7 linked regions of the Sus scrofa genome follow. The protein of the gene in region 3 interacts with the protein of the main gene of each other region in a pairwise test. Links are inferred from orthologs where the notes say so. Each region holds a gene or a part of one and is shown on either strand. Other genes may lie near its edges. The genes, in order: PNMA2, PDLIM7, ENKD1, BEGAIN, MKRN3, CCDC102B and UBXN11.

Evidence for each region.
Region 1: the proteins of ENKD1 (region 3) and PNMA2 interact in binary tests that used the Homo sapiens proteins (3 or more experiments, as listed by UniProt). The two-hybrid records come from large-scale screens. The link is inferred for Sus scrofa from reciprocal best matches to the Homo sapiens genes ENKD1 and PNMA2.
Region 2: the proteins of ENKD1 (region 3) and PDLIM7 interact in binary tests that used the Homo sapiens proteins (3 or more experiments, as listed by UniProt). The two-hybrid records come from large-scale screens. The link is inferred for Sus scrofa from reciprocal best matches to the Homo sapiens genes ENKD1 and PDLIM7.
Region 4: the proteins of ENKD1 (region 3) and BEGAIN interact in binary tests that used the Homo sapiens proteins (3 or more experiments, as listed by UniProt). The two-hybrid records come from large-scale screens. The link is inferred for Sus scrofa from reciprocal best matches to the Homo sapiens genes ENKD1 and BEGAIN.
Region 5: the proteins of ENKD1 (region 3) and MKRN3 interact in binary tests that used the Homo sapiens proteins (3 or more experiments, as listed by UniProt). The two-hybrid records come from large-scale screens. The link is inferred for Sus scrofa from reciprocal best matches to the Homo sapiens genes ENKD1 and MKRN3.
Region 6: the proteins of ENKD1 (region 3) and CCDC102B interact in binary tests that used the Homo sapiens proteins (3 or more experiments, as listed by UniProt). The two-hybrid records come from large-scale screens. The link is inferred for Sus scrofa from reciprocal best matches to the Homo sapiens genes ENKD1 and CCDC102B.
Region 7: the proteins of ENKD1 (region 3) and UBXN11 interact in binary tests that used the Homo sapiens proteins (3 or more experiments, as listed by UniProt). The two-hybrid records come from large-scale screens. The link is inferred for Sus scrofa from reciprocal best matches to the Homo sapiens genes ENKD1 and UBXN11.

Annotation. Positions count from the first base shown.
Region 1 is NC_010456.5:10,425,590-10,429,727, forward strand, and holds the start of PNMA2 (paraneoplastic antigen Ma2), read right to left. Parts: upstream 2,801-4,138; 5' UTR 2,661-2,800; intron 1,926-2,660; exon of another isoform or gene 1,777-1,925; intron 691-1,776; exon of another isoform or gene 489-690; intron 1-488. Other genes in the region: DPYSL2 (dihydropyrimidinase-related protein 2), read left to right, coding at 3,160-3,513.
Region 2 is NC_010444.4:80,451,708-80,455,812, forward strand, and holds the start of PDLIM7 (PDZ and LIM domain protein 7), read left to right. Parts: upstream 1-1,305; 5' UTR 1,306-1,411; intron 1,412-2,376; 5' UTR 2,377-2,386; coding exon 2,387-2,482; exon of another isoform or gene 2,483-4,105. UniProt on the Homo sapiens protein: May function as a scaffold on which the coordinated assembly of proteins can occur. May play a role as an adapter that, via its PDZ domain, localizes LIM-binding proteins to actin filaments of both skeletal muscle and nonmuscle tissues.
Region 3 is NC_010448.4:28,286,467-28,290,435, forward strand, and holds the start of ENKD1 (enkurin domain-containing protein 1), read right to left. Parts: upstream 2,801-3,969; 5' UTR 2,746-2,800; coding exon of another isoform or gene 2,336-2,745; 5' UTR 2,233-2,335; coding exon of another isoform or gene 1,998-2,232; 5' UTR 1,489-1,997; coding exon of another isoform or gene 1,262-1,488; 5' UTR 1,051-1,261; coding exon of another isoform or gene 948-1,050; 5' UTR 599-947; intron 593-598; exon of another isoform or gene 448-592; 5' UTR 433-447; coding exon 348-432; intron 263-347; coding exon 68-262; intron 1-67. Other genes in the region: C6H16orf86 (uncharacterized protein C16orf86 homolog), read left to right, coding at 948-1,050, 1,262-1,488, 1,998-2,232, 2,336-2,745. UniProt on the Homo sapiens protein: Microtubule-binding protein which regulates microtubule organization and stability. Promotes the stability of astral microtubules and facilitates the proper orientation of the mitotic spindle.
Region 4 is NC_010449.5:121,389,054-121,392,028, forward strand, and holds the end of BEGAIN (brain-enriched guanylate kinase-associated protein), read right to left. Parts: intron 2,670-2,975; coding exon 1,245-2,669; 3' UTR 501-1,244; downstream 1-500. UniProt on the Homo sapiens protein: May sustain the structure of the postsynaptic density (PSD).
Region 5 is NC_010443.5:142,498,169-142,502,332, forward strand, and holds the start of MKRN3 (probable E3 ubiquitin-protein ligase makorin-3), read right to left. Parts: upstream 2,801-4,164; 5' UTR 2,674-2,800; coding exon 1,177-2,673; 3' UTR 1-1,176. UniProt on the Homo sapiens protein: E3 ubiquitin ligase catalyzing the covalent attachment of ubiquitin moieties onto substrate proteins.
Region 6 is NC_010443.5:153,888,097-153,891,596, forward strand, and holds part of CCDC102B (coiled-coil domain-containing protein 102B), read right to left. Parts: intron 1,565-3,500; 5' UTR 1,549-1,564; coding exon 943-1,548; intron 1-942. UniProt on the Homo sapiens protein: During interphase, forms fibers at the proximal ends of centrioles to maintain centrosome cohesion. During mitosis, dissociates from the centrosome following phosphorylation to allow centrosome separation. Contributes to CROCC/rootletin filament formation.
Region 7 is NC_010448.4:83,697,516-83,701,015, forward strand, and holds part of UBXN11 (UBX domain-containing protein 11), read right to left. Parts: intron 2,875-3,500; coding exon 2,766-2,874; intron 1-2,765. UniProt on the Homo sapiens protein: May be involved in the reorganization of actin cytoskeleton mediated by RND1, RND2 and RND3. Promotes RHOA activation mediated by GNA12 and GNA13.

The sequences.
Region 1 (4,138 bases), on a different chromosome or scaffold from region 3:
CATTTCTTTGATTAAAAAATCCAATCAGAAATCACTCAAACATTTAAAACCAACTGAACACAGGTATAAAATATAACATATAATACACTTTAATATAACATTATAGGTAAAATTTAATATAGGTTTAACAATTAGAAAAAACTTGTAGAACCAAATAAGTTAAACTTGGAATTATGAATTCCCTATGGTTATGCCTGGTCAGGTTTTGAAAATGCACAAGTAGGGGCCTTTCTTGCTATAAATGTTTCATTAGTAACATGATGCTTTCTTCATAGCATCTGAACTTGAATGGGTGATTTGAGGACAAAGAAAAATCGAGGAGGCACATCTGTGGTGAGCCGGTGGAGACTGAATAATGTAAAAAGGGAAGACTGTCTATCATCCCGTTGCTGTCATGCATCGTGGAGTGTGTGTTAAGGTGCCACAACTATTTTTTCCCTAAAAATCTCCATCACTCCAAATGGGGTCCATATGCCACAGATGCCAACCTGCAGCTACAGTGGCAGCTGTTCTTGCTGCAGGCACATTTCCTGAGTCCTTCTGGAAGGTGCTGAAAGTGGGGCATGTGCCAGAGGGTCAGAAGGGCAAAATGCTGGATCACGTCCTTGCCCTGCAGCCCCAGGGATCTGAACCCAGGGACTTCATCATGCCTCCTGTTCCTCTTCTAAGACGTGGGAGTGACCTTCCTCCCTGTTGCAATAGAGGAAACATAAGGTGGAAAAAGACACTGGGTACCCAGGAAGAAACAGCTCTAAGGTCTACATAATAATGGTCATGCTGAAGTTAGGCTATCTTTGGGTGTCTTCTTCTTCCAAAACCAGTCTCTACCTGCAATGCAACCTACCTTCAAGTTAAAAAAAATAAAAAATAAAAATAAAAGGCGAGTGAAACATTCCTGACACACAATAAAGCCACAGATGGAAATATTTGAATATAGGGGAAAATGTGAAAATCTTGTCCTTTCTCCTATAAAGACAGGATAAGGTCAAAAAGGAACCAGACTTCCAGGTGGAAGACCTCACTGGAATTGCTGGATCATTTAACTAGACAGTTACCTTGGGCAAAGCCTCTACATCTGTTTTCTACCCTGGAATCCTGGGAAGTGGTGACAATGAAACACTCATCTCAGGGGGCTGCTGGCAGTAGGAAATGGCGTGATTCGTGTGGAAGCATTTTATTCAAATGTGAAGCACATCTGGTGCTCAGTCCAAATGCCTGCCTCTGGTTCTCTCATCCCCTGCACATGTAAATTCCTCTCTCCTCCCTCCTCCTCTCCTTCTCATCCCCAGATGCCTTCCCACCTATCATGGTGGGCTTATCTTCAAACTGGGACTGGTTGTCCTCAGAATTTAACTCCATTTACCAAACTATCCATCACAATTGGGAGAGGCAGGGTATCCACATTTAACCCTTCCAGGGGTGAGGGATGACAATGGGATCGGATCTTTGGTTACTCTGCCCAGCAACGACACTCCTATGGTAGAGTGTTTTCCAGTCCAACCCACCCAGCTTAGTGAGCATGCCCAGAGCTCCTTCTCCAGCAGCCAAAGGATGGGCATCATTTCTGCAGGATTTTGCCACTGAAGAGAGAAAGGCAGGGCTGTAATCAATCATGGGCAGGGACTGAGACGTGGAAAGGACAGAGGGATAGGTGTAAGTAATAAAGAGCCCTCAGAGACTGTGTTACTGGCATACATTAAAATGCCCTCTGGATGCCCACTAAACCGGTGGTGGCTGTGGCTAGTCTACTGGCGCATGCACACCATGTCCCCATACCTCATTCTCCTGCTGGATTTCACACAGTTCTTCACTCATCACAGCTGGCACCCCATCTCCTTACCCTGCACTGGCCGCGCGCGCAAGAAGGCCTCAGGCACGAGGCTTCTGGCAACCTAGGAAACCCCGTGGTTCTGGCGCAGTGCGCAGCAGGGCGGGGAAATGAGGCGGGGCGCCCTGGGCGCTGGGTAGGGCTGGAGATTTGGGGAGTGGGCTTCAAAGAATGTCTTTCTCCCTTCTTTGCCGGGTTGGGGGCGGGGGAAGATGCATTCTGCTGGGCTTTTCTTGGCGCTGTGGCGCAATTACGGTATACGGCGCGCCAGTGTAGCGGTCTGCTCCCTCTCTCACTATACATCCAAGTTGCCGCGCTGGGCTGGAATTTGCAGACTACACTCTTTGCTACACTCCCACAGACCGTGGACCTATGTCTCTCTCTATATATACCGACTTCCTCCGCATTTGCTATGCCTCTCTGCATTTCTCTCCGCCACGCTGCGCGCCCCCCACCACAGTGGGTATAGTAAATGAGGAACTTGTTTCAATCTCTGCTCCCAGTAGCCCACCAAGGCCAATGGATAGACCGCGCCCTATATGGCCCCCACCACTCTGCGCAGCCTGCGCCATCCTTTCTCCGTCCTGAGTGCCGCCCCTTACCTTCCCGCTGAGTGTCCTGAGTCTACCAGTTTCTGCCCCTTTTCCTATCCATTAGCTCGCACTCGGGTAAGGGGGAGGGAACCCTCCACACAGTGGGCCCTCGCCCCTGGGCCAGCTCTGCATTGCGGTGGGAGAGAGGTGCCTGGGCCGGGCAGTTCGGGGAGAGGGGAGCGGGGGCCTGGGATGGCGCCCTCGGATCTTCGCCCCAGCGTGCCCTGCCCCATACTTACCCTGGGGCCGAGAGCGGTCAGCGGGCTTTCTGCTCCGCATCCATTAGCCGGGGGTCTGGCCGCTTCACTTCCGGAGCGTGGGGTCTGGGCGGCGCGGCCCTCCCCAGCTTCCCCAGCGCTGAGCTCCCCTCCCCAGCGCCGCGCCCCGCCCCCGCCCCGCCCGCGCCTCCCCCCACCTCCCGCCGCTGCTGGTAACTGGCAGCCTCTCGGTTCTTGCTGCCGCAGCGGCCACCCTCCCAACCCCAACTTTGCCGCTCGCGGGAGCTCGCGAGGCTGCGGGGGGCGTGGGCAGGGAGGGGAGAAAGCGGGGTCAGGGGGAGGGACCGGGAGGGGTGGGTCGCTCGCTCGCCAGCCCTCGTTCCTTTCTGTACACCTTGCGGTAGGCAGAGAGCAGCAGCCGAGGCAGCAGCCGGGGGGGATTTTTGCACAGAGACAGGCAGACTTAGGGACCCGCTGAGGAAAGAACGGACAGAGAGGACACTCCCCAAGCCCCCAAGCCATGGCAGAGAGGAAGCAATCCGGGAAGGCGGCAGAGGACGAAGAGGTCCCTGCCTTTTTTAAAAACCTGGGCTCCGGTAGCCCCAAGCCTCGACAGAAATTCTGTGGCATGTTCTGCCCGGTGGAAGGGTCCTCGGAGAACAAGACCATCGACTTCGACTCGCTGTCGGTGGGCCGGGGCTCGGGGCAGGTGGTGGCTCAGCAGCGGGACGTCGCCCACTTGGGCCCGGACCCGCAGCCGCCGTACTCCCGGCAGGGTCGGCGCGCCGGCGGGGAGCCATCTGTTGAATCGGGCCGGAAGGTGGAGATCCGGCGGGCCTCCGGTAAGGAAGCCCTGCAGAACATCAACGACCAGGTTGGTATGGAGGAGGGGCGGAGGTGTTCGAGACAGGACGGAGCGTGGGGCTCGCCCCTCCCTCGCGCCCCTTCCAGCTCGGTGAAAAGCCGAGGATCCCAGCGTGCCCACCGTCCTGCCCCACCTCGAATATCGCTTCCCTGCATGTGCACAAGCACCCCACCCTACCCGCCCCTTCTCCGTGCAGGGTTCGGAGAAGCTCGGGCTGGGCGGTGGGCGGCTGTGCGCCCACAAAGGCTCCCCGCGCTTCCCTGGGCCTGGGTGGTGGGGGTAGGGGTAAAGGATGGGCCTATCCCCGGCTGGGGGGTCTCTTGGTTGGAGGGGGAGGGGATGGGCCGAGGTTCCATTCTTCTTAAATCCTCCCGGGCAGCTTCCGATTGCAGCTGTGTCTGGCTGCCCCACCCTTTTTTGATGCAGCTCAGAGCGTGCAGTGGAGGGTTCGCGTGAAGGCCGGCGGGTTCCCCGGGGGTCGGGAGGGGCGGGGGCCTAGACGACAGCTCCCCGCCGCGCCCTGCGTACACTTCCAGCGCATCCCCTCTGTCGTCCTCCGCTCTCGCATCCCGAGCTCGGAGGCCAGGACCATGGTCAGCGCCTCCTCGGACTGCAAGCGAGAATCTATCTCGTC
Region 2 (4,105 bases), on a different chromosome or scaffold from region 3:
AGGGAGGTGGGGAAAATGAAAGTTTAAATTAGGAAGTAACTGGAATTCCTGTTGTGGCCTTGCTGTGGCTGTGGCATAGGCCGGCGGCTATAGCCTGGGAACTTCCATATGCCCCTGGGTGCAGCCCTATAATGAGAAAAGGCCAAAAAAAAAAAAAAAAAAAAAGTGAAAATTCTTACAGTTTATATTATGAGGGGAATGATGCAGAATAGGGGGAAATGTAATGATGATGGTGGAGGTAGGAGAGTAGCCACAGCCATGCCCTAGAAGGAGGTGAGGGGTGGATGCCCATCCTGATCCCTGGTCAATTTCCTCCCACTGCGCTAGCATTGGGGCTGTGGGGTCTGTGAAACCCCCACTGGAGGCGCTGCCCACTCTGGAGTGGGGTACCAGGACTATCTCGACAGTTTGGGGGTCAGCCCTAAACCTTCGGAGGGTCAGGGGGTAGGAGTGAGGGCAGGGCATAGGGTCGGGGCGGAGCCAAAGGCCTTTATACCTCTGTCTGCTGCCTTTGGTGGAGTGTTCTGCAAACTTAACTGTAAGCTCCCCCTGTGTCGACCTCAACTAACCCCACCTCCAAGGTTCACCCCCTCCCTCTTCCAGACCAAGTCTGTCCGATTTAGATATTCCTTTTGTGTGTGTGTCTTTGTGTGTCTTTTTGCCTTTTCTAGAGCCGCTCGCCGCAGGAGCGGCATTATGGAGATTCCCGGGCTAGGGGTCTAATCGGAGCCATAGCCACTGGTCAGAGTCACAGCAACGTGGGATCCAAGCCGCGTCTGCGACCTGCACCACAGCTCACGGCAACGCCGGATACTTAACCCGCTGAGCAAGGCCAGGGATCAAATTTGTTAACCACTGCGCCACGACGGGAACTCCCGATTTAGATATTCTTGAGCTATCAATGGCTGTGCCTTACGCCAAACTATGCCTATCTTCACGGTGGCCTGTGAGGCGAGTATTACTGTCCCACTTTCCCAGTAGGAAACTAGGGTTTAGAGATGACTCAGGTCCAGATCTGCCTGGTTTGCTTGGTGACTTGCTTTTCACTCGGCCAGAGGGAGGCGCAAGGGGCTGGGCGAGCCGCGGGTTGGGCTGTCCAGCAGCCCAGACCCCCCCACACCCTACCCAGGCCCCGCCCCATTAAGGGGACCAGGGAGAGCCTTGCCTTACAGCGCAAAGAGAGACCGGACTTCGTGATTGGGCGGTACGGAAGGATTCGGCGGGGCTTCCTACTGCCTGGGAGACTGCTCATGGGCTCAACTTTTGACGGAGGCGTGGCCACAGGCCACGCCCCCTCCAGCGGGCTCATAACTGATGTCTGCGGCGGGGGCGGGGCCAGAACGCGGGCGGCGGATCCCAGCGCGGCTCTCTGGAGCCCGCTGCTGAGCAGCGCCCCGGAGGGGCCGAGCAGGTACAGGCGACTGTGCGGGGCGTTTCGGGCTGGGCCAGGCGGGGGGGCAGAGGCCTGTTAGGGGCCACAGCGGGCACTAGGGGTCGTGGCCAAAGCTGCGCTTCCTCCGGCGTGCGGGAGCCGCTACCCCCGCCCCCGCCTTCCTGAGGCGAAGCCGGCTGCGGCGGGGCCGATTGGCGCCTGCGCCGCTTCCTGCCCCCGGGACTCGGCCAATGCATGGGGCCGGGGCGGGGAACCAGGGGGAAACCGAGTCACGTCAGGAGGGTAGGCCTGTGGGGGAGGCATCACCCCCACTGAACTCTAGGATGAATTCCCTTCCTGGCCACGCTTTGAAGTCCCAGTCCCCACCGACCTACGCAGGGGCCGCGCACCCGCCCAGTTCCCCCAGCGCTCAGGGGTCTCGCCCTGGGTCACGGCAGCTTCGACTAGTCCGGGAATGGCTAGTACCCGCTCCAGCCGCCTCCCCCCCTTCCCCTCCCCCTCGCGTCCCGAGCCCCCGTGTGTTCCCTCCGTTGGCTCTCCGCACAGTGTCAGCTTACACGCCTTATATAGTCCGAGCAGGCTCCAGCCGTGGCCTGCCTGCCGGGACCTGGGGGCGGGGGAAAGGAGGAACGCCGGCCCCGGACTGGCCTTGCCGTCTAGTTCCAGGCTCAAGGATGGCTTGGGGGGAAGCCAGAGCCAAATTAGCCCTGCGATCCACTCCTGGATGAAAAGAATCTCAAGGCTGGATTCGGGCTCCCCTCACCCACCCTGTCCCTTGGGGAAGGGGGGTTGCCGCTGCCTTTCCAAAGTGAAGTCTGCCAGCTAGCAGCCCAGCCAAACTTAACAAGTTACCCTCCTACCCTTGCCCTGGGTGTGCTCAGCGTCTGCTCGTGCCTTCCTGGCACTAGTCCAAGCCTGATGTCCAGAGCTAGGCCTGCCTGTGTACCCACCATGCCAGCTGCTCACCTTTTCTCTCCTCTCAGGAGCGGCACCATGGATTCCTTCAAGGTGGTGCTGGAGGGGCCAGCACCTTGGGGCTTCCGGCTGCAGGGGGGCAAGGACTTCAATGTGCCCCTCTCCATCTCCCGGGTGAGCCTAGATTGAGGGAGGGGCTCCCCCAGGGGTCTTGGGGTGCTCAGATCTCCAGTGGGTGACAGAAAGAGCCTGAACAGGAGTGAGCCACGGCCGGTAGGCCAGGAGGTGCCCAGGTCCAGATATGTGGGCACTGCCACGAAGACTACCAACCTAACTAGGGAGATACTAGGAGAGGAGCCCCCACACTTCCCTAGCACTGCACTGTACCTGATGCTGTTCCACGAAGCTCCTGTGGCCACCTCCAAGGCCCAGGGGGATGCCCATTCTGAGGTCTCCAGGAAGTGTCTAAGCTCCTTGAGAGAGCAATGCTTGGAGCTAGGCCCCAGGCAGGGCTCTCTGACTGCAGGATCTCACTTCATTCTCACTGCCACCCAGGGAATAGCAACTGTCATCCTGTTTTTCCAGATGAGCTAACTCAGGACTCGGAGAGGTGAAAGGGCTCCTTCAGCAACTCCGTGGCAAAACAGGGATTGGAATTCAGCCACAGGGATGGCCAGCAGTCTGTGTGTGTGAGGGGTGCCTCTCCCCGGCCTGTGTGAGGACCTTCCATCCCATCCACTGGTCCCATTCAGGATGGAGTGGGCTTTGACCCCAAGCAGGGGTTGGGATGGGTCTCTAGGACTCTGACTTCAGCTTCTGAGATCCTGTCCTGGTGGGGGTGGAGCTAGGGGCCGGCTCCTCCCTGTGGCAGGGGGATTGCCTTATAAGCCCAAGAATGCAGCCCCACGCAGGGATGGCCAACTGGTGGCTGGAGTCTGCAGGGCTGAAAAAGGCTGGTCTGGGCCTGGACCCCTGACCACATCAGTGGGCCCCTCAGCTCATCGCCCCCAGGCTGTGGCTCTAGCCATGGGATCGGCCGTGGGACATGTAAAACAAGCTGCCTGCCCTGAGAGAGAGTCCAGCCCTTGGGCTGGTATCTCTCACTGTGGTGGGGGGTGGAGGGTGGGTTCAGGAGGAGGTGGGGACTTCCTGCTCCCATATCCGCTTATCCAGAGAGACCCACCCAGGCTCCTGGTGGGCAGGCAGCTATTGGCAGGAAGCCCAGGGCAAGCACAGCCTAGAGGGGGCCGGAGGGTTGTCCAGCCGCAGCTGAGCTCAAGGGGGCCCCAAAGCAGAGTCTGTCGGAATTGGGCTTGGTGGCCAGAACAGCTAGGCTGTCACTGTTCTCAGGGATCCTACCCTGGGAGCTGCGCTGCCGGAAGGGTAGCTAAGGGCAGTGATCTCCCTACCACATATACCCACCCTGTACACAATTCTCGAGTCTCTCCAGCCCTGGAAACCTCCCCCTGTATACCCCTTCCCTGGGAAAGTGCTAGCCAGTGTGACTGGGTAGCTGTAGGCCTTGGCTTGGCCTCTGAGCCTCAGTTTCTTCCTTGGTGAGGATGGGCAACAAAGTAGCCTAGGGGATGGACTTTCAGATGTGGCCTGCTGGGGGCACCCTGAGCCCAGGCTCCCTTGTCAGCAGGCCTAGCATGTGGGTGGGGCCACCAGCTGAGCCCAGCCCTGGAGTTGGACCTAGGCCCTGGTGGGTGGGCGGGTGTGTAGGGTGGTCTTTTCTGAGCTGGGCCCGCCCTCTCTCCCTCTACCCTGACCCCAGCGTGGAGTGGGGAGGGAGGG
Region 3 (3,969 bases):
AGCAGCTGCTTTTGACCTCAGCTGTGACCTCAAACTCACCTAGAGGTCCCTTCTGCCCAGAACTTACGCTTGGGAGAGGCCCCTGGGCCTAGGGAGATACCCTCGAGCTGCAGCAGCATGCCACTCACGCCGCGCCGGCCACGCTCCAGAATTTCTCGGGCTCCGGGACCCATGCGGGGGCCGCTGGGAGGGGTGACTTCTAGGTCTGGGTTCCAGGTTAGCAGGTCCAACTTCAGCGCGTTTCCCTCAAGGCGCCCTTGGGCTGAGAGGCCAGACGGGGCGGAGTGCAGGGCTCAGTGATAGAGCTGAGCCCGACCCTCGCCAGGCTGCGGCACTCCTCCACTCACCCGAGGCCGGCCGCCGGTAGTAGTCAGGGCAGAGCGTAGGGTCTGGGGGGATAGGCCCCGAGATGCCGGACGGACCCTCACACATGCCGCCGTCGTCGCCCTGCAACCGCGCACGTATCTCCGGCTGGGGAACCCCTTTCTCAGCCCTGTGCTTCCTCCCTGGACCCGGGCCCTGACTCCGGCTGTGCCCTCCATTCCCGGCCCCCGCCCCGCCTCCCGACCCCGGCCTGCGCAGGACACCCCCTACTCACAAAATCACTTCCCAGCGGGGTTAGCGGCCCCTCTTCCGCAACACCCGGGCGGGGGCTCACCCAAGCAGTTTTACCGCCCTCAGCTGCCACCCGATGGGTTTGCTGTTGCCAGGTAACGGTGGTTTCCTTCCCTGAGGTCAGGGGCCAATGCCCCCTGGCGCAAAGCCTTCTGGGGCTTGTAGTTCCAGCTGAGCGTGGGGCAGAACGGCTGCCAGTTGCTCTTCTCAACCCAGCTCTTCTCTGAGATCAGCTCTGAGTCTGCCAGTCTGACTCCCTCGGGGCCCGCCTTCCACCTCCCACCCACCCCACCTTCCAAGCAACCGTCGAGGATGCTCTGATCCCCTGAGCAATGGCTTCAGCAGGGGATGAGAGGCGGCCAGGGACCCAGGAAAAGACGGCTGTGGGGCTGGCACAGCTCACTGAGGTGCCCACTGGCTACGCTCAGAATTCTGAGTTGACCATTAGGCTGTGTAGCCCTCAAACACTTGGGCACAGCGCTTTAGGAGACCAACTCTGTGCAACGACCCCCTCCCTAATTGCCAGGACAGGCTCCATAGCCTGGGAAGGGCATGGGATGGTGCCCTCATCTGTGTTTGATGTTTAATGACTGATCCCTTTACCCTTTGCCTGGTCGTGGTGACCAATTACCTATGTGTCACTTCTAGTGTCCAGTGATGGGAGACCAGTGCCTGGAGCCAGCCCTTGTGGCCTGCCAGACCCAGGGTGAAGACAAGTGTCCAACAGGAGCAGTCTCAGAGCCAGAGCTCCTGGAGGAAAGACTCAAGATGGAGGAAAAGAGGCTCAAGCCAGTAGCAGAGGCACTAGAGGAGAGAGGCCCCAGGCCTATAACCTCCATTGTGAAGCCCAATCATGGTCCGAAGAGGAAGCCTGTCAAGTGAGGGGACCTTCAGAAGGAAGGAGCTGCAGGGCTGGGGGTGGGAGGTGGAGAGTGAAGGTGGCTATCACCCTAGTAAGATTCCTAATCATTAAGTTCCCGTGTGGCACAGCAGCTTAAGGATCTGGTGTTGCTGCAGCTGTGGATCAGGCTGCAGCTGCAGCATAAGTTCAATCCTTTGCCTGGGAGTTTCCACATGCTGTGGTTGCAGGAAAAAAAAAATCCTCAATTGGGCATTCCTGTAGTGTGCTTCCTTATCCATCCCTGGCCACCACCATCACTCCTCACCTCTGCTGTCCCTCAAGTGCCCTGATGAAGGGATCATCCAGAGAGGGAGTCTCAAGGCCTTGGAGGGGACTGAGCTCACATGAGCTTTTGGCCCCTTTCAGCCCAGGGCCTTACTGGCCAGGAAAGGGACAAGAATCTAGGCCTGGGGTGATAGGCAGGAAGGGCTATTTCTTAGGCTCAGGGGGCAAGAGCTAAGCCTGAAGGCTGACTCCTCAGGTCTCCTTGTCCCCCAGTCTCCCAGGATCCAGCCACCAAGCCCATCTTAGGGCTGAAGCTGAGCTGCCACAAGGGCTGCTGCTGCAGAAGGAGGAGCTGGAAAATAGCCAGAGTGAGCCCTCACCGTCTGCCAAACAGCACAAAAAAGCCAAGAAGCGCAAGAGTCTAGGGACCCCAGTGCTCCCAGTGGTAGCCAGCACAGTGTCTGTGCCTTCAGAGACCTTGGGGCTGGAGCGTGAGTGGCAGTCCCTGGGCCTTCCCTTTTCCACCTGCCTGCTGGACCCCTGACATGGTACGGCTTGATGCTCCAGCCCCTGCCCTGCTCTGGGTCCTTGCAGGAAAGGCCCAGCGCCTGCGGCCCCTGTACCAGTACATCAACTATTGCAACCCTGAGCTGAACCAGGCAGGGGAAGGGGACAGGGAGGCTGAGGCTGAGGTGGAGCCTGAGGTGGAGCTGACCCTGGTCCCCGAGGAGGCAGGTGTGGAGCAACTGCAGGCCTTGCTGCCCATGGCAGGTGAGCTGGGCCCAGGCCTCACTTTGCCCTGCCCCAATATGTTTGTGTGCCCTGCTCACCCTCTGGTTCCCCTGGGAGAGGAAGCTGGAGAGGAGTCTGGTGGTTTGCCCAGCTTGGGGGTCAGCAGTCATCTCAAAGCTGAGGTAGACAAGTCAACTCATGTGGACATCAACAAGATGCTAAGTGTCTGCGCTGCCCCACTAGTACCCCCACTCTCTCCTCAGTACAAGTGAATGTCCTGCCCCAGTGGTAGCTCCCTTCCTCTCAAGCCTGAACCAGAGCAGCAGCTTATGGGCCTAGGCCCTTAGGTGGAGGGGGGCATTTGGCTCCTGCCCCCACCAGTGACGTTGGATATGCTACAAATAAACCTTTTTCGTTTTCTCAGACTGTGACTCCCCAGCTGAGATGCCTGAAGAGGGAGAGGATGGGAAGAAGGGTGGAGGACTCCCCAGTGCAGTCAACTTGACAGAAACAGAGATTCCTGGGCACTGCCCTAGACCTAAATGTATCACATTCTGCAGGGGTTCAGGTTAGGGGCTTGATTCTGTGCATTTAAAGCCTCTTTAGATGAACCAGACAAGATAACAGTGGGGTTGGAGAGGGAGGTGGTAAGGAAGAACTTGGGGCAGAGAAAGGAAAGGGACTGTCATGGGAAGCAAGCGCTTGGCTTTGCTTCCTGTCTTCAGGGAAGGGGCTGGCACTGTCTGACCTTGGGGACCAGCACTTGAGATCCTCCCCTGAGGTGGCAGAGTTCATTTGCCCATCCGAAGAGTGACAGCTCGGGAATGCTTCCCATTTGCTGGCAGATCATAACTGGACCAGATGTTGCCCCCAGAGTGGCCCCTGGTGACAGAGGTACTGATGCCTTTTCCTGGCAGGCAGTGGGTGGTGGAGGTGGACATTCTTTCTGGAGCCCTGTGTCTTGCCCTCAGGGGTCTCCAGTGCTGGCCGTTTTTGGAAACCACCCCCCCTTGCCTGCCGCCTCCTGGTCCTCTTGCATGTCCCTCACACACCTTAAACACACGTAATTCCAAATTACATGAATTTCTCCTCCTTCCAACCTGCTTTTCCTCCAGTATCTCATCTATACAATTGTTCAAGCCAAAATCTCCGTGTCACTCCGATGCCATCCTGCGTTTGGCTGACTCCTACCAGCTAATCAGACATCATGGCAGGTGAATCTACCCTCTCAGTCCAAGATCCCTTGAACCCCAGTCAGCCTCCTTGCCTGGGACACTCTCATCTCCAGGTGAGAGCTCACTAGTCTCCCTGCTGGGGGTCCCTTGCCCCACCAACCTGATGATTCTGCTACATACACATCTGAACCCCTGAGGGTGTTGCTCCCCCTCTAGCACCCTGTTCCTCTTGCCCCAGCTGCCTTAAAACTCTTTAGTGGCTTCCTGTAATTCCCTGACCACATCTTTCCTTTCTTACCTTCCCTCTCTGCATGTGGGGCT
Region 4 (2,975 bases), on a different chromosome or scaffold from region 3:
AATCTTAAGCAGCTGGAGAGAAAAAGACAGGTTGGCACCACGAAGAGCTCTGGGAGGGACTGAGGGCAAGCCCCACCCCAACAGGAAGCCAGCGGACATCTCTGTGTGTGGGGGTGGGGTGGGGGAAGGGGAAGAGCCCCCTGCTGACATTCTCCCTGGTGAGAGTAGCCTTCAGGCAAAATAAAGACATCTTCAGAGGGGGGAAAACCCAGGAGCGTTTGTCAGCAGCGAAGCTGAACGAGAGGCCATCCTGAGGAATCTTAGGAAGGAAGACAGCCTGAGGACGCGAGGAGGAGAGAAAGGGGGTCTGGGGGAGCGTCAGGAACGGAGGGCAGTGGTGACGATGAGCAGGGGAGACTGGGTGTCTGGGAGTTGGGGGAGGAGTGTGGCGGTCAGAAGCCCGCCCCGCCGGCCACAGAGAGGGCGGGACGCCGGAGACCCCCAGGGCCACACTTCCCGAGATCGAACGGCGGTAGGGAGAAGGAACCACCAAAACCCGATTTCTTTCCACTGATGACTTTAATTACTGAGTGCAAAATACAGTACTGAGACAGGGCATGCATCACAGACAACAGGAAAGCAAGCCACGGAAACCGGGGGTCGGGGGGCCTCATTGCATCTGAGGTAGAGCGAGGTGGTGCCAGGGAGCGGGACACTGGGGGACGAGCACCGGCCCCACTCGGGACTACAGACCACGGGAGAGCTGGGGGGGACGGGGGCGGGCCACACGCAAGAATAGCTGGAAACGTCTCTCATCCCTTCACCCATTTCGGTTCCCCTCTTCGTGGGCAGAGCTTTGGGGTTCCCTTGTCACTGGCTTGCTGGGGTGTCTCGGCCGGACACCGTCCTTCCCTCCAAGGGGCAGGCCCATCTCGCCCTCGCCGGAAAGTCAAGGAGCTTTGCGCTGGCAACGCCAAGGCCGCCGTCCAGAGAGCTGGAGGCCCAGTGCGTGAAGAAAGACGCTTCTGCACTGTAGAAAGAGGTGCACGTTACAAAAGCAGGGAAAGCTCATCGCAGCCGGGGAAGGATAGCGGTAGGTCAAAGAACGTTCTACCACGGTGCCACGGGGGCGGACGAGACACGTGGGCTGGGGGTCCCCCTCTCAGGCTCGACTGGGCTAGGTGGAGAGGGGTCCTTGTTTGCAGGGCCGGGGAGCTGGGTGTTGGGGAGGCGAGGCTGCACCCCTGGGGACCCGGGACGTGTGTGCGCGGGGGTGGCCGTGGCTGAGGCCTGCACGCGGGCGCTTAGTTGAGCAGGGTCCCATAGAGCTGGGCTTTAGTGAGACTGTCCTTGCGGCTGAGCCCCGAGCCGCCAGCCCGAGGGAAGGCCGGCTGGGGGCTGAGGCGGGCGGAGGGGTGCATCTCCGGGGAAGCCTCCATGGAGCTGGGCTCCAGGGAATCCCTGGAGCTACGGGGGCTGTGCTCGGGCTCGGGGCTGCCACTCGCCCCGCACAGCTGCACCCCGAGCCTCTCCCGATCCCCCTCGCTGGCCGCATAGCTGGGCAGGGGGTCGGCCGCGCGCCCAGGGCTGAGGCTCAGCTCGCCGGCCACCCGGAGGAAGCGGGGCTCGGCCAGGTGGCCCTGGGCGAGGTCATCGCCCTCCGAGAAGCTGTCAGCCTTGTAGCTGGCATAGAGGGGGCTGGCGCGGCCCTCGGCCTTATCCCCGGAGCCTCCCGCCCCGCCCCCGAAATAACGATCATTGAAGTTGCAGGGTGAGGCCCGGCCAGCGGCGCCAGCGGCGCCAGCGGCAGCGGCCGCTGCAGCAGCGGCTGCAGCGGCGGCGGCGGCGGCCTGAAAGGGGTAGGCGCCGATGTCCTCCACGCTCAGGGGCCGCCACTGGCCGCGCGCATCCTCCCCGACCAGCCGGGCTGACCCCGGCTTGGCCCGCAGGTTCCACAGATTAGGGGGCATCAGGGCCTGCTGGGGCCCTGGGGAGACCGAGGGCGCCGGGAAGCGGTAGGGCTCGGCCGGGTACGGGGACACAGTCCGAGGGTACCCCGGGGCTACCGCGGCCTCGAGCGGGGCGGCCACCGCGGCGGCGGCGGCGGCGGCGGCAGCCGCATAGCGCGGGCTGCTCTCGTAGGCCGCGGGCGGCTTGCGGCCGAACAGCTCATCGCGGCTATTCAGGTAGATGGCCTGCTGGGAGGCCGTGAGCGTGCTGGCCTGGGCGTGCTCCTTCTCCTCCGAGGTGGCGCTGAAGCTCGAGTAGGAGCTGGACGTGGGCAGTGAGGCCGCGTAGCCCGGGAAGGCCTCGTGCCGGTAGCTCGCAGGGTAGGCAGCCGCCTCGGCCTCCTCCTCCTCATCGGCCGTGCTGTCGGTGGAATTCTGGGCCTGCAGGAAGCCCACGTCGGCCACGGGCCCATCCACGCTGGGCCGCCGGTCATGCCGCCGCTCCTCCGGGCAGTAGAGCGCCGTGTCGCTGCAGTAGAGGTCCCCCTTGTAGGGGGGCCGGGAGCCCGGCTTCTCCAGCCCGTCGCGGAAGCCCAGGTCGCTGGCCGAGGCATCCGACAGACGGGAGGACAGGCTGGCCTGGTCGGGCTTCTCCAACACCTTGGCCATGACGCAGGCCGGGACGCTGTCGGCGTAGGCCGGGCGGCAGAGCGGGGAGGGCAGGCTGCAGCTGGGCTTGTCCATGCTCAGGCTCATGCGCTCCTGGAACTCAGAGGGCAGCTGCGGGGGGGTCAGGGCGCAAGGAGGCGGGGGACAGGGGTCACGGTCAGCCCGGGACTGGCAGCAGAGACGGACCGCCAGACAGACAGACAGACGGACGGACGGACGGGGACCTGCCCAGGGCCTCTCACACCCCACCAGCTGCAGCCCACGCCCAGGATGCTCCCGGAAGGGGCCAGGCCACCGCCACCCACCCCAGGCCGCTCGGAAAGGGCCCCACAGAGCATGGAGGCTGGAGCCAGGCTCTGACTCGGGCCCCTCCTGGGCCACCCCCAAGGGTGCTCTTCCAGCCCTAGGGTCTCTGGG
Region 5 (4,164 bases), on a different chromosome or scaffold from region 3:
TTCCAAATTACTATCATACTTAGCTTTTGTTACTTTTCTGTATTTTTTTATCTTTCCATGCTTGCATTCTGACTGATTTCAATATGCTTATTAGTCTACTTTATCTTTTACAATCTTGTCGCTTTTATGTTGCAAACTTTTGTCACAAGCCCCTTCTTTGGAATATCTAGAGATCACACAAAATACTGAATACAAAGAATGTGTATCTGAGTCCAGGATTGTGCTGTTATAAAGAATAATGAGATGGTGTCTAAACTGCACAGGAACTCACATTTCTATATTGGTAACAGCAGGGTAAGCTATTAATTCCATCACAGGAATTACCAATGTTGGTATTTTGTAAATTCTTTATGATCACAATTGGCTAGAGACACTGAAATAGCTGCTTTCATTAGATGCTAATCACAGAAGCCTGTGAAAAGGACAGAATTATTCACACACCTCACATTCACCCAACATCAAATCTTATCAGCCTTTAACTTTCAGCTTCTAGCTCTGTATGTACTACATAAACATAATAAAATGGTGTATATCTTTTATATTTATCCTCAAATATATCGCTTTCACACACATTAATATGCATATATATAATTCTTAAATATTACTTCCAAATATAAATAATTTCACATCAAGCTAAACAGGATAAAAACATGTAAACATATGCACTTGGTTCTGGTCAAGTAAAACACAAAACCACAAGGTAACCACAAGTTAAAGAGTGCACTTGAAAGGGATGAGAAGCAACAAATGTGTAAACAACAGAGATAAGCAGTTGCACCACAAGGCCCCTCCAGGGTCGATTTCTTAAGGCTGAAGTAGCAAAAAGCTCCTTGTTCAGTTAAGACTTCTCCCTTCACCCTGTCACATTTATTCTTGAGGGGCTTCAAAATGAGTGTGGACATTCTGTAAACACTAGACTAGAACTGAGTCAATCCTGTTGAAAACAGAGATGACAAAATAAACCATAAACTGACAGTCATATTAATTTCACCAAACAATAACTTTAAGGATGTTTTGTGACTTTTTAGCACAGTGAAACACCATAACCCTAGGGGCAAAGAAATGGGAATGGGCAAGAAAACAGAGATGGATGCTCTAAACAAATGGTTTCAGCAGCTTCTGTAAGTGACAGATGTGTCTATAAACACAACACAGGCAAGAGCAGATGACAGAGCCTCAGCACACCATACAACATGCCACAGAATGCCACAGATTCAAATTGAAATATTCTTCCAGCTCACAATGAAGCAAGTCCCACTGGGTCTCTGAGCAGGGGAGCTCATTAGCTCCCCATGAAAGAAAACACTGACACAACAGATTGGCCAGCCAAAGCATGACAAGCTCTTTTTTACAGCTTTTAAAGGGCATGTCGCCCTCTCCCACCTGCGGAGGCTCCAAAAGTTGACCACGCCAAGGACCGGGTGCCCCAGCACCCTGCCTCTGGGGCTCCTCTCCCTGGCCCTCAGGGAAGGCATGTTTGTAAAAACAGTTCTCTTCAAATGGGCAGAACCTGCCTCTTACAAAATACCTGCAGGGCTTGTGGCTCATTGCCTCCAGGTACTGCTGAATAAGTCTCTGCTTCTCTTCCTCCTCCTCCACCCAGAATTCACTGGGAATGACAAAGGTGGAGATGACTCTGCACTGGGGGCAGGACTTGACGACCCAGGTCCCAAACTGTCTGGCACTCCTCCACCTGCGGATACACTTAAGGCAGTAGGTGTGGTTGCAGCTGGAGAGGATGCCAAAGCGGCAATCATTCCGGTTGGCTTTCTCATAGACCACCTCCATGCAGATGCCACACACTTTGTCCGCACTGCGCTGCACGGCAAACGAGAGCTCCATATTCTGCTCATGTGCTTCCATGCAGGCCCTTCTATGGTCTGCCCTCTGAGCACCATCAAAGGGGTGCAAGACCTTCAGCCCACACAAATCGCACATATCTCCATGAAGATACATACAGCTTGGCCCACGAAAGCATTGCCCCATGATAGCATCGCGGCAAAGCTGCTGCCTCTGGCCCAAGGCAAACTGCTCCCTCACAGTCAGCAAGCCCTGTGGAGGAGCCACGTAGATAGGAGGGGCCATGCGGCCTTGGTACGGTTGCCCGGGAACAAACTCAATGGCATGCTCCCAGCCTTCCGCACCTGCTCCTCCCGCAGCTTCAAGGCCTGCATATTCAGTCTCGGCTTCAAAGAAAACCCTCTCAGCAGAGCCAATCAGAGGAAAAGAGCGTGAGGACACAGCCGGGGGGGCTTCCGCCACTTCCTGAGGCAGGGCCTCGGCGTGCGCAGCCGCGCTGGGGCCACTGTCTGTGGAGGCTGGGGGTGGTGAACCGGGGCCCTCCCTGGCCACCTGCCGCCCTGAGAGGTCATGGGAGTATCGACAGTTCTCCCCCTCCTTGCACTGAGCATGCAGATAATACCTGCAGACCACTTCCTTTGTCCAGCTGCCACTGCTCCGGCCCGGCAGCCATCTGGGCCCAGCCCCTCCCCCTGACTCCTGGGCGGGCCTCACACGTGACGGACGGAAGGGGGCTGGGCCTGGAGCCGGAGACCACCGGGAGGTGGGAGGCACCGGAAGGGTGGGCCAAGGCTTGATCTCCCCGGCTGCCTCGATGTCCCCAAATGTCCCAGCTGCCTCGTAGGGTTCTGTGGGAGCTGCAGGCTCTTCCATGGCAGCTTCTGCTCCCCAGAAATGGTACCGGAACTACCCCGGTGTCTCCTTGTGTCAGCCTTGAGGCCCGGAGGCCGGGCGCTAGCTCGGGGCTGATTTTTAGGAAGTGTGCATCTATTTTCTGCTTCCCCCGGTCCCTACTTCCTGTAATTGTGTTCCTACTTCCTTCTCTGGCAGCGCCGGACACTTCCTGTGGAGGCAACATCGGTCCTACATCACTTCTGCACGATCGGTCCGATCGGTCCGTCAGGAATGCTGACCGGCTTCCTTCTTTGTTCGCAGCCAGCAGCGCTGCCCGCTTTCGGCTCAAGCAGCGTCTCCGCTTCTCTGCACGCAGCCCCTGCTCCCCCGCGTCTCTCCTGGGGAAAGGAATCCCAGCCTTTTGAGGTTTTAATTCAATCGCTTCCATTGTTCCTTCCGACACTGTGATTTGAATGCTTTTTCATACATCTCTCTTTAAAGCGTCTAATCCTCGTTTGTTTTAAAGCCCCGTATGTTTAAAAGGGTGTCTTGTTTCTGAAACATCTCGTGCATAAATTTTATAAATGCTTTGTTTGTTCACTCCATTTTATGTCTGTGTGGGTCGTATTTTTTGTCATGTTTATTTATGGGTTTCCTGACTTTCCCTGCTAGCAGCTTTAATCCCTTTAGTTGTGTTGAAAAGACTTGAGACTGCTCTTTGTTTTCTGGAAATTCTTACCGGCTTTTGTTGGAAACGTTTTTTCCCCTGTGAGACATTAGCAGGGAGCGTTTGTGATCTGTGACTGCTTTAGTGCCTGTCAGCTGTCTTAGGTTATTGTGATTTCTAATGCTTCCCTCCCTCTGTGCAGAAGCAGCAGACTTCAGTGGGCTTGATGCTGGCTTAATTAGCCCCTGTGCCCTTTGTGACCCTAGCCTTTATTTTCTCTTGCTAATTTGACTCACAGTGGCTCTTTGTTTCCCCTTCTTTCATCCTTTTTTGTGTGGTATTGTGTTAGACCAGCCTTTCATAGCATATTCTATGCCCTGTAAGCGGTACCTCTTAATTTTGCAAGTGCATTTTATTATATTGGTTAAAAAAGTAAATTCTCAAATATAAAGCATATTTATGGATGGCTACTGAATTTTATCATGTAGTATTCTGCATTTTTTTGAGAGGTTATCATATTATTTTCTCCCTGTCTTGTTGTTGTGATTATTTGCACTGCTAGGTTTTAACTGTTTAACTTACCATTTTTTATTCCAAGAAAAACCTTTTTGTGGTATGATTTATTATAATTTTATATATTATTGGATTTCATTTGCTTAAACAAGTTTCTTGGAGGGAATTTATGGTCTAAATTTATATTTTTAAGTGTAAGAAAGCCTTAATATAGCACAGAAATTAGAAGCAAAGCAAATAATAAAGATAAATTCATTAAAGAGAAACAAACATGAAGTAGGGGAAATTAATCAAAATCTTCTGTAATGATTATTGAAATTGATAAATTTCTTGTGAAATTTATCAAGAAA
Region 6 (3,500 bases), on a different chromosome or scaffold from region 3:
TTGATTTATGGTTGTAGAGGTAGAATTAACTAGAAAGAGGTAATAATATAAACTAATTCTACTTGAAGAGCGAACACAAATTCCTAGTTTCCAAATGTATATTCCATGAGTTGTAGATATATATATATGGGAGGAGGGGTGTTTCATTGATAGATAAGTGTATGAACTGCTAGATTAAAGTTTTAAAATTTTTTATTGTGTGCAGAAATCTCAGAAACTTCAAGATTCAAGTATACCAAGAAATTCCAAGAGTAGGTAGTGTGAAGCAGTCCCTAAAGATATTTGCCTAAGTTACCTATCTTTGAGTGATTAATTGTGAGGACAGAGTCCCAACCTTCAGGAAAGGTTTAAACTACTGTACGGATAATTTCTTAGTAATGGTTTACTAGAGTAAATGGAGAGAAATCTCCATAAATATTTTCTTTTAACATTAAAAAATGCTGGGTTAATTTTGGCTAAAAGTATGAGTAACATAGGCTGACTTGTGTCTCCCCTAAAATTCATATGTTAAGGTCCCAACCCCCTCCAAATATCTCAGGATGTGACTGTGTTTGGAGATAGGGTCTTTAAGAGGTAATTAAGTTAAGATGAGCTTAATTAGTGTGGGCCTAGTGATGGCATCCACAAAAGAAGAAGAAATCTGGACAAAGATGCACAAAGACAATATGGAGACACAGGGAGAAGACAGCTATCTGTAAGCCAAGGAGACAGGCCTCCAAGGAAACTAGCCCTGCTGACACCTTGACCCACCTCAGACTTCTAGCCTCTAGAACTCTGAGAAAATGAATTTCTGTTGCTGAAGTCCCCCAGTCTGTGGGCAGTTAGTTCTGGCAGCCCACACAAACAAACACAGTAACCACTGGTTTTGCTATTTTCCTTTCCCTCCTCATTACTGTCTATAGCATTCAAAAAATCTCTGGATTCCTCTGGATTTTTTCTGACCTTACTCTTTGTGTTCTCCTTGGTAGGAAATTCTCTTTTTCCCAAACACTCTCTGATGGACTCACAGGTTTTGGAACCAATTTGAATTGAGTCTCTCTGTGTAGAGGACACATCTCTGAAACCAGGAAGCTTAAGGTCCTGAATAACTCTAGCTTCCAAAGCCTCCTTTTGAGGTGACAAATTTTGCTTCCTTTTCAGAGTACTCAGTTCCTTCATGGTCATCTCTAATTTTATCCTGAGTTGTCTTGCTTCCTCCCTGGCACTGTTCCTTTCAGCTCGAACTTTACTCCACTTTTCTCTCCAGTTGGCAGTGCAGTCTGACCACCACCGCATGGTCTTCTCCATCTGAGCAGCTCTGGCCTTGACCTCCTCCAGTTCCCGCAGTCGAAGCTCCTCACAAATATCCCATTCATTACTGTTGCATGAGTGAGCACAGACGTTGTGATAGGCATGAGATTGCAGCCCATAAAGTGGCAAATAGGGACCACAGGTGTCCCTGGGGGATGAGGCAGGCACCACCAGGTCACATGCTGGTTTAACTGATGACTGCTGCCTCTGGAAGATTTGTGTTTCCTCAATTAACCGACGAATGGAATCTAAATTCATATTTATCTTTTCAGGCCTAAGAAAAGACAGAGAACATAATTGCATTCGAATTTCCCCTGCAATTATAAGAGCAAGACCGACATTTAAAAAAGGAAGTTGATGAAAACAATGTGTCTTTTTCAATATTGTATATTTCCCTTCCCATTGTAGCTAAAAATATAGAGGAATTTCTGCATTTGTAATTACCCTCAAAGAAACAGAGATTTCTCCTATTTAAATTTGCCAAATAAATACAAATAATATATAAAGATGCAGCGGGGGATAGCATAGGACATGAATAATTCATTTCAACATATCCAGTTCTTTTCAGGTAATATTTATTGCAACATATATTGTCCATTAACTTCTCAATGGTCCCTTTTCCCCTGCTAACTAAAGCCCAATTTGTTCAGGTAGAAGGCAGAATCTATTGATCTTTGGAAGGATAAGCTCCTATTCCAATCCCAGGGGCTAAATTATGATTGGTCTAAACCTTTCGGATAACCTCCATTTAATTCATCATTCCTAATAGATAATAAATAGGTTTAAAGCAGCATGTGACCTGGTTCGGACTGATGAGAGGTCAGGGGAAGTCTGCTAGAGAAGTCTCCCATTCAGAAAAATGTGAAATCATCAGACTGAGAAACACTTTTATTTCTGCTCTCCTCCTGCCTGATCAAAGACAAGATTCTGCAAGAAGGTAAATGTAACAGCCACCCTGTAACATTAAAAATAGTGAAACAGAAGAATGAAAAAAGCTTTGTGTAATGATGGAGCTGCTGCCTGAAAGATAGAATCCATACCCCTGGTTTCCTTGCTGTGTGAGAATGATTACCTAAATTTATTTAAGCTATGACTGTTGAGTTTTCTGTAACTTGCTGTCAAAATGACATCTGACACATAAATTAACTTCCTACTGTGGTTAGTATTTTAAGTTCTAAAAATAAAATATTATGAATAAGACATGATCTGTGTCCTTAAAGATTTCGTAGGCCAGTGAATGAGACAGGCATATCACTGGTGTGTACAAGATACACTAAGGGGTACTGCTAAAGAAGTGATGAACTGTTTTAGAGAAACAAAGTAGCTTCACAGACAACACTGAAAAGAGTCTCAGTAATTCCAGAGCTTTAAAAAGGAATTAAAAGCAGCTTTCCATATAAATAGCAAAGACAAATTAATTGGTAAATGCAAACCTTTCTTATCAGTATGTACATCCATCACTTTATTCAATATAGCAACATAACTATATTGAGGATTAGCAAGTGGAACATTTTCTTTAAAATAAATTCTCAAAACATGCAGGTTAATCTACAAATTAATAAAGTTCTGTGGTTGTATAAGATTACCCATTTTTATTATCAAAGAGTTTCTGGTGTAAATGATCTTAGATAACATTTTACCTTCATGATATTAACTACTCCCATTTTTTTTCCATTTCCTTTTATAGAGTTACAGATCATAAATTGTCTTTTTATGAACCATCCATTTAATCTACTGAAGGGGTTTCATTATACCAACTAAGTTAACTGCTATTGACTGAAAAAAGACCATATAATATTAAATGTATACCACTTTCAGCTGTGGAAAAACACATTTTAGTAAGTGTTCTGTAGGGATGTCAAACCAATTCACTCATTATAATACTTAATATAATAATATAGATTCATGGTTGTAATTATTTTTGTTAACATTAGTTTATGTCAAATCATATTTGAACTAGTGCTGACTTGGAGCAATTATTCCTTTCATTTACTGTAATTCAGTGACAATAATAATATACTGACCAAATTTCTCAGACCACTAGTAAACCAAGACCAGTATTTTAAAAAAGAGAAACTCTTAATTAGAAGCATACCAAATATTATATATTTATATTTACATATTTCACTACTTAATAACATATTTCTTTTTGTTGAAATTTCAAAATGAAGATAGGAAATTTATTTCAGTATATTAAACTGAAATTTATC
Region 7 (3,500 bases), about 55 Mb from region 3:
GCTGAGCTCCAAAGGAGGGGAGGAAAGGGGACAAGGCACCCAGGGGACACAGCACAGGCTGGAGCTAATGGGAATGCAGCTGGAAGGAGCTAATCCTGCCAGGGGTCCAGGCCAGGCCAGTCCCAGGGGCTCAAGGGCAGCCCAGGGACAAGTGAAGCCAGCTACAGCCCACAGAGGGGTCAGGGTAGCATCCTGAGCAGTGGAAGGAAGAGGCAGGAGCCTGGGCCTGGGGGAAAGGGCTGGGGGAGGTGGGGGGACTCAGGGGAGGGTGATGGAGAAGGAGGGCAGGAACTTGATGGGGGAGGGGAGGGAAGCACAGAGGGGATGGGGGAAGGGAGGTGAGGAGGTCAGAGAGGATGGGGAAGAGGGGTCAGGAGCTCAAAGTTGGCAGGAGCTTTCAGCCTTGAGGCTCGACACCTGACTTGAAAGTGGTATGGCCAGAGCAACATCTGACCTGAAAGTAGCATGGCCAGAGCAGAGCCGCCCTTTCAGGTCTGCGTGTACCCTGAGGCACCTGGCACCCGGCACCCGATTTGATGTTCACCCCGCTGGTGGAAGGGTGGGAGGGGCTGAGCTTCCTCTCCCCTGGGCCCCTGCAGGGGCCTCCTCCTTAAGATAGGACTCCCGGGCTCCAGAACATTAGAATCAGCCCCAGTTTGCCCAATACAGACGCCCCAGCTCACCTATCCCCTGGCCTGCTGCCCCAGGGCCTGTGGGAAGTGGTACCCAACAGAGGGAGAGCCAAAGAAAGGAGCCAGAGCATCAGGGCCAGCCAGAGGCTACCTCCATGGGCCCAAGGGTCCTTGGGGCGGGAGCAGTCTAGCAGCTGGGGACCAGGCCATGGGGAAAGGAAGGGAAGAGCGTGGGAGGGTTCCAGGAGGAAAAGCTGCTGGAAGTGAAAAACATGTTGTTCATCGGGTAGGAGAGTGAAATCAAGGTCCCTCCGTGTGGAAGAATCAAAAAGCAAAAGAAGGAAGACGACACACAGAGGGAGCTTGTGGCTGGGTGGCTTTTACAAGTGGCTTCTGAGCTGGCCGTACTCTGTGTGTAAAGCACAGAGCCGGGGGGAGGGGGGCTGCTCTGTTTTGGAGGGAGAGGGTAGGAATCCACAGAGCCAGGACCAGAAAGCAGCTGTCTGGTCTGACTCCTTCCCCAAAGGGGCAGGGCAGCCCCCTCCGGCCAAGAGGATGACTCTCCTCCAACAAGGAGGCCTGAGCCCAGCTCAGGGACAAGGAGGGGAGGGGAGGGGCAGTGCTGGCAGGCCTTTGGCCCTAGAGCCCAGGAACAGACATTCTTACAGCTTCTGGCAGTCACCTGCCAGGGTCTGGCCTCTCATCTGGGCAGGTGTCCCTGGAGAACTTCCCATAGGACTCAGCCCAGGGTTCAGCTCCGGGCATGACCCAGGTGCCACCAAGCTCCCCCAGCTTTGCTATGTCCCAAGTGGACTCAGCATCGTCCCCCCACTCGTGCTCCCCAGGGTCAGCCCAGGTTCCTCCTGCCCCCTCCCTAATGAACAAGCGATCTCCAATAAATCTCTCTGCTCTGCCCCTGCTCACCAGCCCCACCAGTATCACCCTATGCTGGGCATCATCTCATCTTCTGCCCAGATGATTGTAACCACCTCCCAATGGGCTCTCAGCCTTAAGCCTTGCCCCCTCCACTCAACAGGCTTCGGACGTCTTAAGTGCCTCAGTTTCCACATCTGTAAAATGGAATAACCCCAGCTCATGTCAAGACTATTTATGAAAATGCTTTAAAGGAAGTTAAGTGTGGTCCAAATGGGAAGTAATGTTTTTGGAACAAGGATGAGAGGGTTGTGCCTGGAGATTTAGGGGGATCCGGCCAAAGGTGGGACTCCCATGTTTTCGGTTTCGGTTTTTACCCTGCTGGAAACTTGTGAAACCAAGAGAGTGCCATCATCTTCCAAAGAGTCAGCCCGGGAGCCACGCTCATGTTCCCACGGGACTGTCACTGCCTCTGACTGTGGAGACCAATGAGAGCTCCCACTCGTGGGGCTGAAGGCATGCAAGGTCAGCGGGAGGTGCTGCGTCCAGCCCAGCGTGGGCGAGAACACACCCCCATCTATTGGAGAGGACCTGGAGGCTCAGAGAACAGAACCCGAGTCAAGTCACGCCTGGGGGTAGAGTGGCAATGAGGACCCAGCCGTGACCATCTCCAGAGCCCAGAGAAGAACCTTCAGGGCAATGACCTCCATTCTTTGTGGAGAATGGACCCGGCTTTCAGAAGGGGCCAGTTCTATGGGCCCAAATCTCTGGAGTGCATCCCTCTGGATATCAGCACTCGACTTAGGAATAAAAGGGGATGGCGTCCCATAAAAGCAGGTAGATTTCAATAGTTTGCTGTAAGGGAACCTGGAAAAAGAGTCCGAAGAGGAGGCCAAGCCCTGGGACCACAGGACACTTCCAAAGCAGAGGGACTGCTTTCAAAGGCCACAGCTTTGGGAGGGGGGATGTTCTGTGAACTGTGGTGCCTGAGACAAATGAGATCTTGTTACATCTTGTATCTCTGGGTCCCCGGAGCCTTAGAAAGGTGAGCAAACAGAGTCTAGGTTAGGTGCTCAGTGATGAAAGCTGAGGCCTTTCCCTCCTGTCCCTGTGTCAGTGGCAAAGCGTGGGAGGCCTCGGGGCACCTCCTCGTGCTGGGAGGAGGGGCGTGAATGAGATGGCCTCTGGACAGCTGGGCACCATCAGAAGCTGCTGGACAAATCCCTTTGCAGGGGGCGCTGGGGTAGACCCTGACTCTACCTGGCTTCCAGAACTTCTTGGCTGTCATCCAGTCCCTCTCGTTATCCTCAGAGTCCTCTTGGTCCACGGGCTCACCCACCCACTGCAGGCCGTAGTCCCCAAGGAACCGCTGCGGGGAGAGAGAAGGGAGGTGTCCAGGGCCCTGTCAGCTCAGCCCCTTCCAGGGGAAAAGGCAGCACCAGCCCAGCCTCCAGCCTGGGCTCCCAAAGCTGACTGGATCGGGGGGATGGGCCCCAGGGTCTTGAACCACTTCCTGGCTGTGACCTTGGGAAGCCATTTCGCTGCCTAGAGCCTCAGGCTCCTTGTGAAATGAAGCTTGTGAGGAAGACTAAGATAATTCATGTCATGTACTTAGTACCGGGCCTGGCACAAGCAGGAGCTCGCTGAAGGCAGGTGGGTCTGGCCTGAGAAGCAGGAGGGGCAGGGACACCCCACTTGGCAGGTCTGAGGGGACATGTCCACTCACATGTGGCCCCTCTAGGGCTGGCCTCACAGCCCCTTTGCCACAGGAAAACTTTTTTTTCTTTTTTAGGACTGCAGGTGCAGAATATGGAAGTTCCCAGGCCAGGGGTGGAATCGGAGTTGTAGCTGCCAGCCTCCACCACAGCCACAGCCACACAGGACCTGAGCCATGTCTGCAGCCTACACCACACAGCTCACAGCAACGCCAGATCCTTAACCCACTGAGCGAGGCCAGGGATGGAACCCACATGCTCGTGGATTAGTTGCGGTCTT